Canis lupus familiaris: one gene and its partners. The protein of the gene in region 4 interacts with the protein of the main gene of each other region in a pairwise test. Links are inferred from orthologs where the notes say so. Each region holds a gene or a part of one and is shown on either strand. Other genes may lie near its edges.

Region 1 (2,988 bases), on a different chromosome or scaffold from region 4:
TAATTCCCTGTTGCTGTTTTTGATACATAGATTTACAGATGTCTGCTTTCTTTTGTAAATGAAGTGGATCATACTCCATGTGAACTGCTTTGTCCTGAACCTATTTCCATCAGAAGACATGTGTTCTAATCCTGGTTCTGTCCTTGGCTTACTATGACCAGTCAATAAATCCCATTAGGTCTTGGTCTTCTGGCCCATGGTCTAGGGATTACACACCTGGCCTCACATACCTTTATATGAAAAGTCACTTAGAAGTAGGAAGTGCTTAAAAAAAAAGAAGTAGGAAGTGCTCTACCCACAGGAGAAGTGGTATAATTACAATAATTAATTGTAAAGAAGTGGGATAAGTAATTACAGTAATTAACTGATATATATATGTATATATTGATATATATTGATATATATAGAAGTCTGCAAAGTCAAGGGTAGGTTGACTGACTAGGTCCCTCTCTCCCTCTGCCCTACAGCTGGTGGGCGCTGGTCAGTTATGGTATCCTCTTGGTGACCCTGGGAGCCTTCATCTTCGGCCAGACCACAACCAACGCCATCTTTGTGGATCTCTTGGCGTAACAGCTGCCTCCCAGGCAACACATGGCCTTTGCCACTGAACCCAGGAGCCCATCTCTCAGAGCTGTGGGACCACTCTGAGTCCAGCATCATTCCCCTTTCCTGATGGGATGACATCTGGACATCCTTTTCCAGGGACAGTTTTGGAGTGAAATCAGGCCTCTTACCTCTGGACAGCTCAAACCCAGCTCCCCTCCTGCTCTCTGGTCCCAGCAGTGTGAGGATGCAGGGAGGAGGTCTCGTATCACAGAAGAACCTTCCCTGTCTGCCAGCTCTCAGCTTCTCCATGCCTGAAAAACATGGGTGAAGAGGGTCAGAACATCTCAGAAAAGAGAACCTGGCTTGACTTTCCTTTGGAGAAAGAGTGTGGGCAAAGGGCCACCGCCATCCTCCTCAGAGCAGCCTGTCCTGAGCAGGAACCATGCGTATTACTCTGAGACTCAGTGCCTGCTCCAGTTTGTCAGCCGCTTGGCCAACAGTGGCTTCTCTGGGATGGCAGCTTCCAAAGGTAGCACAAAAGTCATACAGATGCACAGAGGTAGATAGAGTCATGCCTCGTCCACCTCAGCCTGGGGCCTCTTTCCCCAAACCTGAGAGTCCAGGCATTCTTGTCGTCTTCTATCCCCAGACATCATCAAGTCTAATGTTTACAAACGGTGCCAGCCCGGCTCTGAAGCAGAGGCCAGGGGCCATACCGTGCCACCACGGTGCTGTGAGTACTCCTCAGTTAGCTTTTCCCTTGGCAGGAAGTCTACTTTGCTCTCTCAGATTCCAGATGTGCCCCGTGCTTCAGAGACACAGGGAGGGTGATAAGTCTGAGAACCTTTCAAACCCATGTAGGCTGGGCTGGTCAGTGTCAAGGTGAGCCTCTCTGATAACTTCTCTTTCAGTGACTGCTTCTCTTCTTTTTTTTTTTTTTTTTTTTCTTTTTTTTTTGACTGCTTCTCTTCTGCTGGCCTTCTGCTCACCTCTCCTTGTCAACCCTAGCAGGATAGCCCACAGAGAAGAACAGCTGAGTTGTCACTGACTGGGCAACATTTTCGTGTAGTCATGACAGTCTGGAAGTTTCCCTTCCAGTCCAGATCTTGTCTGTTCCCTCCCTCTGTCGTTTCTTCACTCCCTACTCCATTTTTCTGGTGCAGGCTTTCCTGCTCACATAAGACTGAGGGTAGGGGGTATGCAAGACCTTCTCTTGCCAGCTTTCTCAGCATCACAGGTCCACCAGGCTTGGCCTCAGCGGTCTGTCAATCACACTGAGGTCACACATGGATTGTGCCCCAGGTGGGGAGAAGAGGGACATTTCTTTCTAGGTCTGCAGTCCCACTTTTCCCTTTTTGGCTGCTCACTTTGACCAATCCCAGGCATTGAATCAGGCTTCCTCCACCTGGAACTCCCAACATATCCTTGGCCCCTTCTGCTCAAAACCTCTGTTCCAGGGGTGAGCAGGACCCCCACCCAGCACCCACCACTCAGGGCTGTGAGATCGCAGAAGCAGAGGCTGGCTGGCTGGCTGGTGGCCAGATAGACTTTTGCTCAGTTCCCAGACTGGATGACCTGCCTTTCCTCAGATCCACCCACAGCCCCTGGGGCCAGACCAGTGCTGCTGTGTTCTCTTAGCCTGTACTCAGCATCAGGCCCTTCCAGTGCCCATCCCTTCCAAGCTTAGGATGGTCCAGTCAGCAGGGCTGAACAGCTTCCTAATGTTGGATTTCAGCCGAGGGATGGAGGATGTGAGGGGAGTCATCACACAAAACAGACCAGTCAGGAAAAGGAGTGGAATCTGGCCACTTGGCCTAACCTCGGGAGCCCCCTGCTCTGCCCTCCCCTCCAGGGTATTTTACTGTTTCTTTTCTACTTGTACGCATTCATACCAGAGAGGGTGGTTAATAAAAAGAGGCTGTGCTGCTGAGCTGTGTGGCCTATGTCTGGTGCTGGGGACAGAATCCAAGCCACTGACAGCAGGAAAATAGGCTGCGGGGGTAGGGGTTGGGGTGGGGACTTTTGGCCTTATCGACTCTGACCCCTGTCTCAGGCATGAGTATTGCTATGTTCCCTTCACCAAGATGGGAGCATACAAGTGGTTCTAGATGCCTCCTCTTTCTTGCACATCCTACCAGCCCTTACCTGCCAACCTGACAGTTTGCCCTGGTCTCCCACAGCCACTGCCTTGTTTCAAGTCCTCCTGTCTTCCCCACACCATAGGCCTTCAGACTGGCCTCCATGCTGCAGGGCTCACTGACTTCACATTCTGCGATGAGCTTCAGACTCCTGCCTGAACAACCACCCTCATCCCTTCAGAGGCATGTGTTAAGCAGGCCCTGGTTGTCCTGGTTGTGAAGCCAGGCACTTTCCAGGGCTGCAAGATACTCAGCTGTATGCAGCTCCATTCTCAAACTGCTGTGTAAGACTGATACTAAGCAA
Region 2 (3,567 bases), on a different chromosome or scaffold from region 4:
TACCCAGAGCAATAAATATTTTATTAATTTCTGATATAACTGAAGGTGGGGTTTCTTCTTACTAAGATTTTGCTGTATTCAAATGTGAGACAGTTTGTTAGGGCTAAGAGAGATACTGTAAGTGTTGTTTGGGAACTACTGGTTTATATTTGGTGAGCTTTATAAAAACCCATCATACCTACTAAATCAGTATCTGTGAAAGTGGAGCTGTTGCACTTACATTTTTAGCCAGATCTTCAGGTGATTTTATTTTTAAGGTCAGGAATTAATAATTACTACTAAACAATAAAAATGTTAGGTCTTACTGCATTATAAAAATCATGTAAACATTGGTGGACTAATTTTTATATCAAATTAAGTAACTTATGAAGTAACATAAACATTCTTAAATATTAGACTTCTGTTTCTTTGTCCTACTTTGGGCTGTGGTTACAGATTCTGAATCAGGATGTATAAATTCACTCTTCTACCTCATTCAAATGCTGAAGGTAGATATGTTTACGAAACACTGCTATTGGGATACTTAATCATGAGGGTAAAGGAAGGAATAATAGATTTATTATCTTTCAAAATGGTGCTGTGGCAAGATGGAGAAAGGAAAACCTGTTAAGAAGAATTAAGTAGAAGAAAAGGCAGAGAAAAACTTGACTCATTCAACCTTTGTTTTTTGTGTGTGTAGGCACATAGTTATTTGCTGATCAATAAGTAGTAATTTTTACCCATCATAATGGATGAGTGAGTTCAGAGAAGGTGAGATATATATAACAGTTATTTCCTTTTGCACAAAGCACCTCACGTAATAGCATTGTTACAGGTAGAAGTGATGTTCCTGTCATATGCAATTCATATTGTCTCAAAATTAAATACCTTTGTGTTTCTATATGCAGAGAGCAATGAGTACAATTTGAAAAAGCATTCTTACAAATATAGTTGTCTTTATTAGGCTAAATATGCCTGGTAATTTATAAATTTTTAAAGGGAATTTGTGAAAAATAGCTGAAATAAAAAACGGGTAACCTGAGTTTTTTTTCTGTATGTTCCATCCCCTACCTACGTGCTCATTCATACAATGAAACCAGTACTTTGTGAATTGATGAGAATAAACAGCAGGCAGTTGTTTATCCTTGTTTCTGGCACTTATTTTGTTTTTAACTGGTTTTTAAAATAAGTTCTGTGGAGAATATGTTATGTCTTGGTAATACAGAATATTTGAGTGTTAATGGAATTTTATTCTTTCTTAGGTCATGTTTACTGGTGAAAATATTCCCGTTCATCCTCATGTTTATAGCAATGGTCATATCTGTTTATCCATTCTAACAGAAGACTGGTCCCCAGCGCTCTCAGTCCAGTCAGTTTGTCTTAGCATTATTAGCATGCTTTCCAGCTGCAAAGAAAAGGTAGGACTTCTCAGAATTATTCCAGGTAATATCTATTCTTTTAGTTTAGGTAGCGAAACTATTTTAATACTATGTGAAGGAAGGACTTAATGCCTTTTATTATGAAGTTATAGATAATATGTTTAATAATAGATTAGAAATAGGTATTTTGATACTCTTTCACTCCACATGGAAGTAAGACATTGTTTTATATTTCTTAAACAAAATTTCTGCAGATGTTCTTAAGTAATATGAATTTTATTTCTGTAAGCATGCACAGGGCAGAAGTGTACAAGAAATTCTCACTTCTAGATTTCACCACGGAAAGCCCCAAGAGCATGTTTCATAGCTGCTTTCTCCCCTCTGGTGGCCCCCACACTGTCAGCCACTTTTAGGGGGTTTCCCAGCAACTAGAGCTTTCCTATCCATACTGATCATCTAGTGATTAGGTTGAAGGAGGAAGGTTAGATTACCGGTAGAATTTTCAGGACTTTTTCTCTAATTCTCCTTTATTTATTCACAGATTCTATGTCTGTTGGAAAGGTGAAAATACCAGAAAGAAAAATCACATAAGTTAAATATAGGATACCCCTTTAAAGTATCTAAATTCCGTGTGCATTTCTGGCCCTCTTGTTATTTCTGCCTCAGGGTCAGTGTAGCACAGTGTTCATGTGTTTATATATTTTAAAGCCTCTTTTCTTCATGAGGGTTTCCTTTTGTATTGGGTTTAAAGGAGAAACAGCTTTACCTTGCAGATTAGGGATCTGTGGGGTTATTACAGCAGTGTTTTTTCCTTGTGTTCTCCAAATTCAACTATCATTTTTACTAAGTTCATATTTAGAGAACTTTAAGTAGCTCATTTTTAAATGCTAGATTATCTAGACTCTGAAACACGCTTAGCTTGGCAACGTAAGTTTTTTGAAATGTTAGTTCCATAAGAAGTTTCTTGGTGTTAGGTTTAAAAAAAAAAAAAAAAACACAACAGCTTTTTTCGTTCAAAGAAGCATGGGAAATAATGGTTTAAATTGTATCTTCTTTTTAAATTATAGCATTAAGAGCCCTTAATATGGAATTTTATATACCATATAAGAAAGAAAAAACTTCCAGCAGTTAAACTATGACACCATTAGTATAAAACACATGTATCCCCATTCAGGAATATTAAAATGTAAAGAAAAAATGTACATCTTAGATGAATTAGGGTGCACATTATCTAATTGTAGTATGACTTTTTAAGTTTCCTCTTTGCCTGTGGGCTTTTTTTCTAGGTTGCATTTTAAGGCTACACTTGAGCTTTTGTTAACCCCAAGGGCTTTGGAAACAAGTCTTATTCGTTTATTGCTTCCATATTTTCTCCTCCCCCACACTTCCTCTCCCAGCGCACACATAAGTTTAAAATGTTTAGGTGTAGAGTAGTTACAAAGACTTCTGTGTCCTTGTTAATGTTTAATGTCTTTAGGAAGGTGAAGCAGTAAGTCTAGGATTTTAAAAAGGAAAGTTGAGATGAACACCGGTGATGTGTGTACATAGCTCTTGCATGTGCCTTGTAATGATTACCACTTTTTTTTAATATTTAATATAATGATATATAATAATTAAATAAATGTAATGATTTACAATAGTATAAATGTAATAATTTACTATTAAAAACTAGAAAATAAAAAAAAATAAAAACTAGAAAATAAATTCTTCATCTTCTTTATCCTTTTCTAATCCTATTTCCTTCATATTTCAGTTGTCTACTAGTTTTCTTGCATAGTATATGCTTAATTATTCCATTTCAAATATTGGCAAGCTATATTATATAATCTAAATTATACTTAACCAAGATAATAATATGGAAGTAATTCTGGCAGCATTAATTAGTTCTCTGAAATACAATAAAAATTTAGTAAACGTTTATTAGGTACCTATTAGGTGCTGTTTTTACTGAGCCAAGTACTAGGTTACAAAGATGAAGAGCAAACTTGCTTTGGCACTGAGGGGATCTAGCTCCTTAAATAAGCTTTTAAAAGTCTTGTAACTACTCACCAAAAGCTCTTTTAAAGCAGGTGAATTTTATTCTGTGGTTAGTGTGGTTCTATGACTTTCATTTTAAAATTTGACTTGAATACATATTTTAGTTTTTATTGTAAGAGTTTGGGAACTTTGATTTAGTCATAATTCTTTCATTCCAATTTTATTTTTCGTA
Region 3 (3,567 bases), on a different chromosome or scaffold from region 4:
TCTGTAGGGTAAAGTCTCTATGATATGACCCTTGCCAACTTTTTTCTTCTTCAGAGTCTTTGGAAGCTCCCTTTTTGCCTAAAGCTTACAATTTCCAGGTGATAGTAGGTATTTTACATTGTACATGCTTTTTACCAGATGCTTGCCTTGGATTAGAAAACCCCTTCCGCACCACTGACCTGCTGAACTCAGCTCCTGCCTTAGGGGCCACCTCTTCTGTGAAGCTTTCCTGACACTCCAGCACCCTGCCTCCCCTCAGCACATGTCAGGAGAAGACTGGGCCCCCACTAGGCCCTGTCAGTGCCTCCCCTAACGTGTTACTGTATTGAATTGTTTCTGTGCTCACTCTGAGGCTGGAATCATGTCTTACTCTTTTTTCTTTTTAAATCCTCAGCAAATATCAAGAACTGGACAGGTTATGGGAGCTTAAGTATCTATTGAGTGAAACATTGCATATGCTGGAGTAGTTTTCCGTGAAAGTCTATCACATTCAATGGCTTTGTTTTCTTCAGCCCCTCTTCCTTGCAAAACATTTGATTTAACTGTTCTTCTTAGTCCATCACGGAATTAAACACACTCCCATGAAGAAGTGATGACTTAATATTGATGTTTTACAAACTACTTCTGGTTTTGGCTTGGTAACACAGTAACTGGTCACTGGGAAGTAACATAAATCTATCCCAAGAAATGTTACTTTGTATCAGAGAACCCTATTAAGCAGAATGATGTTTGCAAGTAACATTACACGGGCATGATTTTAACAATCTCTCTTGTTAAAATAAGAAAGTGGAGAAAGGAAAAAGAAGCCCCAGACCGGACATAGTTCTGCTGAGCTCTCAAATGGTGGAGCCTCACTGTGCTGTAGTTATTGCTATCAGACTCTGCCGTGCCTTTATTTAAAGGGAAGGAAGAAGACATTTAATGGGAAGTGACAAGCTTCCTCGAATTCTCCTCCTCAGTGAGCAACTGAGAACCATGCATACTCAATGGATTTGATTTTTATTGGCAAATCCCAAGGTTGGCAGCGTGGCAGTTTAAATTCCTTTTTGTGTTTTTGCTTTCTCTCCTCAGTTGTCTCTCACTTGTGAGTCTGACATCACATGCATACAAATCTAGTCAATTTTACTTATTTATATCTTTGCACACACGTCAGTATTCTCTATGTGATAATTCTTTACCTGTGGCATCAGCTGCTGAGGAAAATTGACTTGGAATGCCTGATCTTAGTTGATTTTACTCAGCAACAGGCACAGGGAGGAGAGAGTGAGAGTGAGAGTGAAGAATGACATGAGCTGTTAGTTTCATGACCCCTGGAGAAAAAAAAAAGTAATATTCATTTAGATGTATTTCAACTGTTAGGCATGCTTGTTGCCATTTTAATTTTGTAGAAATTGGGAAACGCTGTCAGTTAATCTCCCAGGATTTTAGAACCAAGCCTTTTAAACAGGAATATGATATGAAAGTTTTAAATTTGCTGATAGTTGTTGGAGGTCCGCATTGCTGAAATTTGTTGTTAATCTCTTGATGGTCTGTGAGCCATCTATATACACACAGCAAAAGCCCAACTCAGAAGAGCACTTTCAGTCTTGTGGATTAGAACACATGTACATCATTGCAGCTGCTCACCCCCAGATGAAAGGGTGGCTGTGCGGCCTCTTTTTAATAATGTTCCATTGGTCTGCTAGCCTGTGATTTTTTATATTAATTTATTTCCATTTTTCCTTAAAGATTGAATGCTTCATTTGTAAGAAATAGCTAGTCAATACCAGGGCAGACAAGGGGTTCCTGATCCTTAGGCACTCAGATTTTGGTAGCATTGGACATTTTAAACATTGCTTTTCAACTGATGTGACAATTGTGTCTTTATTACTTAATGGCAACATAAACCATTCTGTTTTTAGGAAGATTAACAAGTCAAAGCTATCGAGTTATTTCCTGTTAAGTTTAGTCTGTAGAAGTGCATTTTCCTTAAAACTTGTTGAAGAATGTTTTGGTTCATTAAGGTCTTTTTTAAATGACTAACTTAGCATTTAAAATCTTCTCCCATTAAATGAATAAAATGTTGAAGCTTGGCAAGTATTTTAATTAAAAATTCGGTGCAACTATTTAGAGTCTCAATCATAGACATTTTGCATACAGTTATTCATAATTATATGGTTGACATTCAGGATATTCTTTCCAAAACTAAGAAATATACTAAAATGATTTCTCCTTATTTTTAAGACTGAATTTAAATTTTAACTGAAAATCATTGTTCTCATAGATTGTTTCCTAAGTTTCTCTATGTGCAGAATGAGGCTTACATGTAGATTTCTGTTGCAAGTTTCCCGTTTTGACAGTATGACCTAGTCTCTTTAGAGGGTCAGGGTAAAGGGGAATGTCAGGACACAGCACTGGGTGCTGAAGACAAGCTGGAGGCACTAGGATAATCTGTACAACAGGACGGCTATAGACATCCGAACAAATACTGTGTGTGTGATGACCTTATTGTACGCATTTATGCTTCTAGCTTCTCGCTTTTCTTTAGACAGTTGGTGGCATTTTATAGCATGCTTCATGGTTATGTAGTTCAGAGAGAACATTGCTTAACTGCCAGCTGGTTTGATGTTTTCAAATCTCAGAGATGGTAGTAGTGGAGAAGTAGCATGAACCATCTAGTCCAAACTGCTAAATTGTGAATCATACACTGAAATCGTGCTCTGCCAATTATAATTTGGAATTCTCTTGTAATCATTTATGGTGCTTTCTTCAGTGGTGTTATTTATTTTTCTTTCTTTTGGGAGGTAAGTTTAAAAATATTGGTGACTGATGTTATATAACTTGGAGAGCTTGTAAAACAATCTTTCAAATGCTTATGGGGGTCGTAGTAACTCTTTTCACTTAGGTTTTTGCCATTTTGGCATTGGAGATGACTTAATTTTTTTTCTTTTTCTTTCCACAGCTGTGATTGGGTTATTATACCCTTGCATTGACAGGCATCTAGGAGAGCCACATAAATTTAAAAGAGAGTGGTCCAGTGTGATGCGGTGCGTAGCCGTCTTTGTTGGTATAAATCATGCCAGCGCTGTATCCTTTCCACTGTAATGAAATGCATAATCACAAAGCAGCTCCAACAAGCCAAAGGTTAAACAGTTCCTTGCAACTTCACTATTGTCAAATTGTGATATGTCCCCTTAGTCGTAAAAAGAATGTGTGGCGTATTGTTGAAACATCACAGTAGCAGCTGTGTTGTTACTGGATGGGGTATAACCTTCCATTTAAATCCCCATGTTTCAGTATCACTGAGAAACTTTGCACATTTAAACATTTTACGTGTTTTTCTTAAATTAGGTTGCTTAATTCTGTATAGTTTTGGTAACTCTAAGATTGAAACAAGTACATTTTCAAAGGATTTCTTTCCTCTCTCTTTTTGTTTAAGACTTGCCAATGAGGACATGTGGCTTCAGGTGCCAGCTGTTTTTGGTTTGTTGTTAATTTAAGGAACTTATGATTTTTTCCAAAAAAGACTCATCTATTGGTTTTAATCAATGCCAGCAAAGCACATAAATTTTCTTAAAGGTGGCATAA
Region 4 (4,337 bases):
AAAAAAAAAAAAGAGAGAGAGAGAGAGAGAGAGAGAGAAAGAACGCTAGATTACTCTGGGACGAGCATGCCTCCTGAATTTTGTAGGCATGTATCTGTTCCCTGTCCAGCCTCTGACCTCCTCTCGCTCGTCTTTCCACTGTCCCTTAAACCAGGACCATTGCGTTGCTCCTCTCCTTGGTCTACACCCCTTCCCCTAGAACTTTTCTCCTAAGCCTTTCCCGGCATCCTGTACCTTCACTTCCCCCGCCCTCCTCTCACCTGGCCTCCCTGGTCACGTGAGACCTTTATCTGGGTGCTGACCTGCCCTCGGCCCGAGTCTGTCCCCGCTGCCAGACACACATTCGCCCTGCTAGAATTTACACGCCCTGAGGTCGAGGATGTAAGGAACACTGGTATGGGAGGACTGTTACCTAGTTCTGCTCCTTGGGCCACAGTGAGGTCACTGACTGTAGAGAAGGCCCAAGCTCGGGCCTGCCCAAGTCCCGGGGGTCCTACCCAGGAGGAAGACCCCACTTCTGCGGGACACACTACAGGACGGAAGGGGCGGGCCTAACCCCATTCCGCCGCGGGTCGCTCAGGAGGGCGGGCCTTGCCCCCTCGGCACCTACTCACGAAGGGGTGGAGCTAGTTCGCTTTTCAGGTTTAAAACGGGGCCGGGGTCAACTCTGTCATCCTGTGTCAACGTTAGAAAGGTGTGGGCCTTGAGATCTGTTCTGCAAGTCACCTAAGGAGGAGCGGGCTGCGTCCCGCAGCCGAGGGAGATGGGTTAACACCAGCGCCGCAGGTCGATGCTCGCACCACCCACACGTCGAGCTGATGCCAGTTCTGCTCCCTTCTTCACTGAAAGGGAGGGGCGAGCCCCAGTTCTGCCCTCTACGTCACCGAAGGAGGCCGGAGCCATTTTGAGCCCTGCGACCATAGCATTTGCTACCTCGCCGAGCTCTCGGCCGTCTTTTCCGATCTCGGCCAATCAGGGCTGCAAGAAACTAGCCAATCAGCCCGGAGAGACCGCAGTCGGAGGGCCCGGATGAGGCGGCGCTGATGCCTTTGAACCCCAAAGCCCGCCAATCGTAGAGCAGTCACCACGGCGACAAGAGCGCGGCGAGGGGGTGGGGCCAGAGAAAGCCGAGCACTCTCGGCCTGGCCCGCCCCTTCCCGCCGCCTGCTGCGCGCGCGCACTTTGCCGAACCACCATCTTCCGTCGAGTTCCAGCCAATCCAGAGCTTCGGAGCTCTACGCTCCAAAGTCCAATAGGAATCCGGACGTTCTCGGAAAGGGGAAGTGAAGCAAAGAAAGGGCTCGGAGGAGGCGGGGCCTGTGTGGTCCCGGACCAATTGCTTCTGGCCCTTGGCCCTGACTGGCAGCTACTCAGACGAATCAAGCTCCCCGACCAGGTCCAACGGACACCAATTCTGTCGCATGGCGTCCTGACGGAGACGCGCCCGCCAATCGTCGCTGGCAAGGGCAGGCCTGCGCAGACCTCTCCCTACCCTTTGGGCCAATCCTGGCTTTTAAACTGTGTGATTGTCAGCCACCCAGACCAGTAGTGTTTAGACAACCTCGAAGCCCGCCCAACGGTCGTGGGCTGGAGGCGGTTTCTCGCTGTTGGGGCGTGTGTGTGTCTGTGTGTGTGTTTGGGGAGACCGAGGGGTACGTGAAGGCGAAACACCGGCCATGGCAGCCGCGGAGGAGGAGGACGGGGGCCCCGAAGGGCCAAACCGCGAGCGGGGCGGGGCGGGCGCGACCTTCGAATGTAATATATGCTTGGAGACTGCTCGGGAGGCTGTGGTCAGCGTGTGTGGCCACCTGTACTGGTGAGGGTCCGGCCGGGGCTGAAGAGAAATGGGGCTCGCCCCTTACTGGGGAGGCTGGGGGCGGGATGGCACGCATACGGATAGTCGGCGGGCACATCCCCGTGGGCGAGGCCCGAGGTCTCTGGGAATGTGTGGGTGAGAGGGTCACATCTCCACGGAGGAGAGCCGTGTGGCGGAGAGCCCTAGGAACTGGGCGCTGAGGGGTGTGCTGTGGTTAAGAGGCAGCAGGGCGGGGTGGTGGTGGGGGAACTACATCTGTCCAGGTGAGACCCCAGCCGCCTTACCCCGGAAAGTGACGGTCTTAGTTGTACAGGTGGAGATAGATTAGACTCCAAGGTTAGAGGAGGCACGCCTTAGTCGGGTACGGGAGACCGAGGGAATGTAGGATCGCATGCAGATGAGATCTTGGTAGGGAGTGGTATGACAGACCTGAGGACCAGGGCACTGAGAAATGAAAGGATGGTGGAAATAGGGACTTGATGGAGCCTAGAAGAGAGGAAAAGGAGTAGTGGGGGCAGGTGCTAGTAAAGGGGGTTTGGTTGAGGAGTGATGCGGGCAGGGCTGGGGTTGGGGCTGAAACAGGAGATCTAGAAAGCTCTGGTTGAAGAGACCTGGACACTAAGTTCAGAGGCAGAAAAGGGAGGGGACATGTGTGTTCAAGGAGAGAAGAGCGTTGAACCTCGGAGGATGAATATTACTTTAGACGTTGTAAGATCAGAGAGGTGGGAAGGCCAAATTGGCTGGCATGGAATAGGTTGTCAAAAACATGAAAAGAAACAGCAGGTAATACCTGGGAAGAGGGGTGCGATCGGACTCTGAGGTCAGGTTCGTGTCTGTCTTTACTGTAGCTAGTTTGACCTTCTTTTTTTCCCCCCATCTAGTTGGCCCTGTCTTCATCAGGTGCGTACTCAGAGGAGATGAAGAGGGAAATGGGGAGGTCTGAGGAGTTGAAAAACCCTACTGTGAACTGGAAACCACTTCATTTTCTCCCTCAGTGGTTGGAGACCCGGCCAGAGCGGCAAGAGTGCCCAGTGTGTAAAGCTGGGATCAGCAGAGAAAAGGTTGTCCCTCTTTATGGGCGAGGGAGCCAGAAGCCCCAGGATCCCAGGTGAGAGAGAGGGGGTGGTGCTGAGGGAAGATGGACTGCTTCTGGCCTGGGAGTGGGGCGTGGAGGGGGAGAGGACATTCCTTGCTGCTAGCCCTAGCCAGTCTCTCATTCCTCAGATTGAAAACTCCACCCCGCCCCCAGGGCCAGCGACCAGCTTCAGAGAGCAGAGGGGTGAGTCTTGTCTGATTTGTGTTCCTTCCTTGCCAAAGACCTGCCCAGTTCTCCTCTGACTTTCTCCACCTCCCTAGGGATTCCAGTCATTTGGTGATACCGGGGGCTTTCACTTCTCATTTGGTGTTGGTGCTTTTCCCTTTGGCTTTTTCACCACCGTCTTCAACACCCATGAGCCATTCCGTCGGGGTACAGGTAAGAAGAGCCTTCCCTCAGCTCCAAGCAGGGAGCCCTCTGAGTCCCCTCAGGCCTTTTCCCAACCTAGGAGTGGATGCTTCTCCCACAGCTTTCCTTTCTCCTACAGGTGTGGATCTGGGACAGGGTCACCCGGCCTCCAGCTGGCAGGACTCCCTCTTCCTGTTTCTCGCCATCTTCTTCTTTTTCTGGCTGCTCAGTATTTGAGCTTTGTCTCCTTCCTGCCCACCTCCAGCCAGAGGAGAATCAGTATTGGGGGTCCTTGCTGACCCTTCCTTACTCCTGGCCCCTCCCTCCCAACCCCTCCGTTTCTACTGGCTAAGGCCAACCCTGGCCACTTTGTAGGAGGGTGTGGGGAGGAGGTGTGACATCTGTGCAGAGGATGGGAGAAACTTCTGCCCTGAACTCGCTGCGTAGCATCCTAACTCCCAGCTCTGGGACAGGAGGACAGACGGAAGAGGATGTCTGTTTCTTCCCTCTCCTGATCTTTTGCTTTCCCCCACATTTGTTGATTTGATGTTGAAAGATGGGCAAGGCTCCCACTGACTCTCCCCTACTTTACCCCTGTTGACTTAATTTTTCTCTCCCCAGTGTCTAATATGGGTTCTGATTCTTAAGTCCTTCCTTCCCTTCACTACCTCCTTTATTATAAATTCAATAAACAAGGTGAGATGTACTGATGGGAGCTCTGCCCACCTTTGTCCTTACCCCCTTCCTTCCAGGACAGGAGCATCTCCCCAACTTGAGTAAATATTTGCACGGTGTGGGGAAGTGTGAAGGCTTTCTTCAAGGCTCTGAGGGATTCAGAGGGTGAGGGCGTCTCTCTCTCTCTCTCTCTCTCACAAACACACACACACAAACACACACAGAGGCATCTTTCTCACACACACACACACAGGCGTCTCTCACACACACACGTGTCTCACACACAGTCATCTCATACACGTGTCTCACACAGGTGTCACACACAGGCATCTCTTTCTCAAACACAGGTGTCTCTCACACACAGGTCTCACACACAGTCATCTCTTACACACAGGTGTCTCT

What was found.
Region 1: the proteins of RNF5 (region 4) and SLC38A7 interact in binary tests that used the Homo sapiens proteins (3 or more experiments, as listed by UniProt). The two-hybrid records come from large-scale screens. The link is inferred for Canis lupus familiaris from reciprocal best matches to the Homo sapiens genes RNF5 and SLC38A7.
Region 2: the proteins of RNF5 (region 4) and UBE2W interact in binary tests that used the Homo sapiens proteins (3 or more experiments, as listed by UniProt). The link is inferred for Canis lupus familiaris from reciprocal best matches to the Homo sapiens genes RNF5 and UBE2W.
Region 3: the proteins of RNF5 (region 4) and INSIG2 interact in binary tests that used the Homo sapiens proteins (3 or more experiments, as listed by UniProt). The two-hybrid records come from large-scale screens. The link is inferred for Canis lupus familiaris from reciprocal best matches to the Homo sapiens genes RNF5 and INSIG2.

The regions. Positions count from the first base shown.
Region 1 is NC_049223.1:57,279,343-57,282,330, forward strand, and holds the end of SLC38A7 (putative sodium-coupled neutral amino acid transporter 7), read left to right. Parts: intron 1-467; coding exon 468-570; 3' UTR 571-2,476; downstream 2,477-2,988. UniProt on the Homo sapiens protein: Symporter that selectively cotransports sodium ions and amino acids, such as L-glutamine and L-asparagine from the lysosome into the cytoplasm and may participates in mTORC1 activation. The transport activity requires an acidic lysosomal lumen.
Region 2 is NC_049250.1:22,835,102-22,838,668, reverse strand, and holds part of UBE2W (ubiquitin-conjugating enzyme E2 W), read left to right. Parts: intron 1-1,241; coding exon 1,242-1,397; intron 1,398-3,567. UniProt on the Homo sapiens protein: Accepts ubiquitin from the E1 complex and catalyzes its covalent attachment to other proteins.
Region 3 is NC_049240.1:33,228,523-33,232,089, reverse strand, and holds part of INSIG2 (insulin-induced gene 2 protein), read left to right. Parts: intron 1-2,941; coding exon 2,942-3,066; intron 3,067-3,567. UniProt on the Homo sapiens protein: Oxysterol-binding protein that mediates feedback control of cholesterol synthesis by controlling both endoplasmic reticulum to Golgi transport of SCAP and degradation of HMGCR.
Region 4 is NC_049233.1:1,702,944-1,707,280, forward strand, and holds RNF5 (E3 ubiquitin-protein ligase RNF5), read left to right. Parts: upstream 1-1,511; 5' UTR 1,512-1,676; coding exon 1,677-1,816; intron 1,817-2,697; coding exon 2,698-2,716; intron 2,717-2,811; coding exon 2,812-2,924; intron 2,925-3,040; coding exon 3,041-3,095; intron 3,096-3,172; coding exon 3,173-3,290; intron 3,291-3,399; coding exon 3,400-3,497; 3' UTR 3,498-3,966; downstream 3,967-4,337. UniProt on the Homo sapiens protein: Membrane-bound E3 ubiquitin-protein ligase that mediates ubiquitination of target proteins. May function together with E2 ubiquitin-conjugating enzymes UBE2D1/UBCH5A and UBE2D2/UBC4.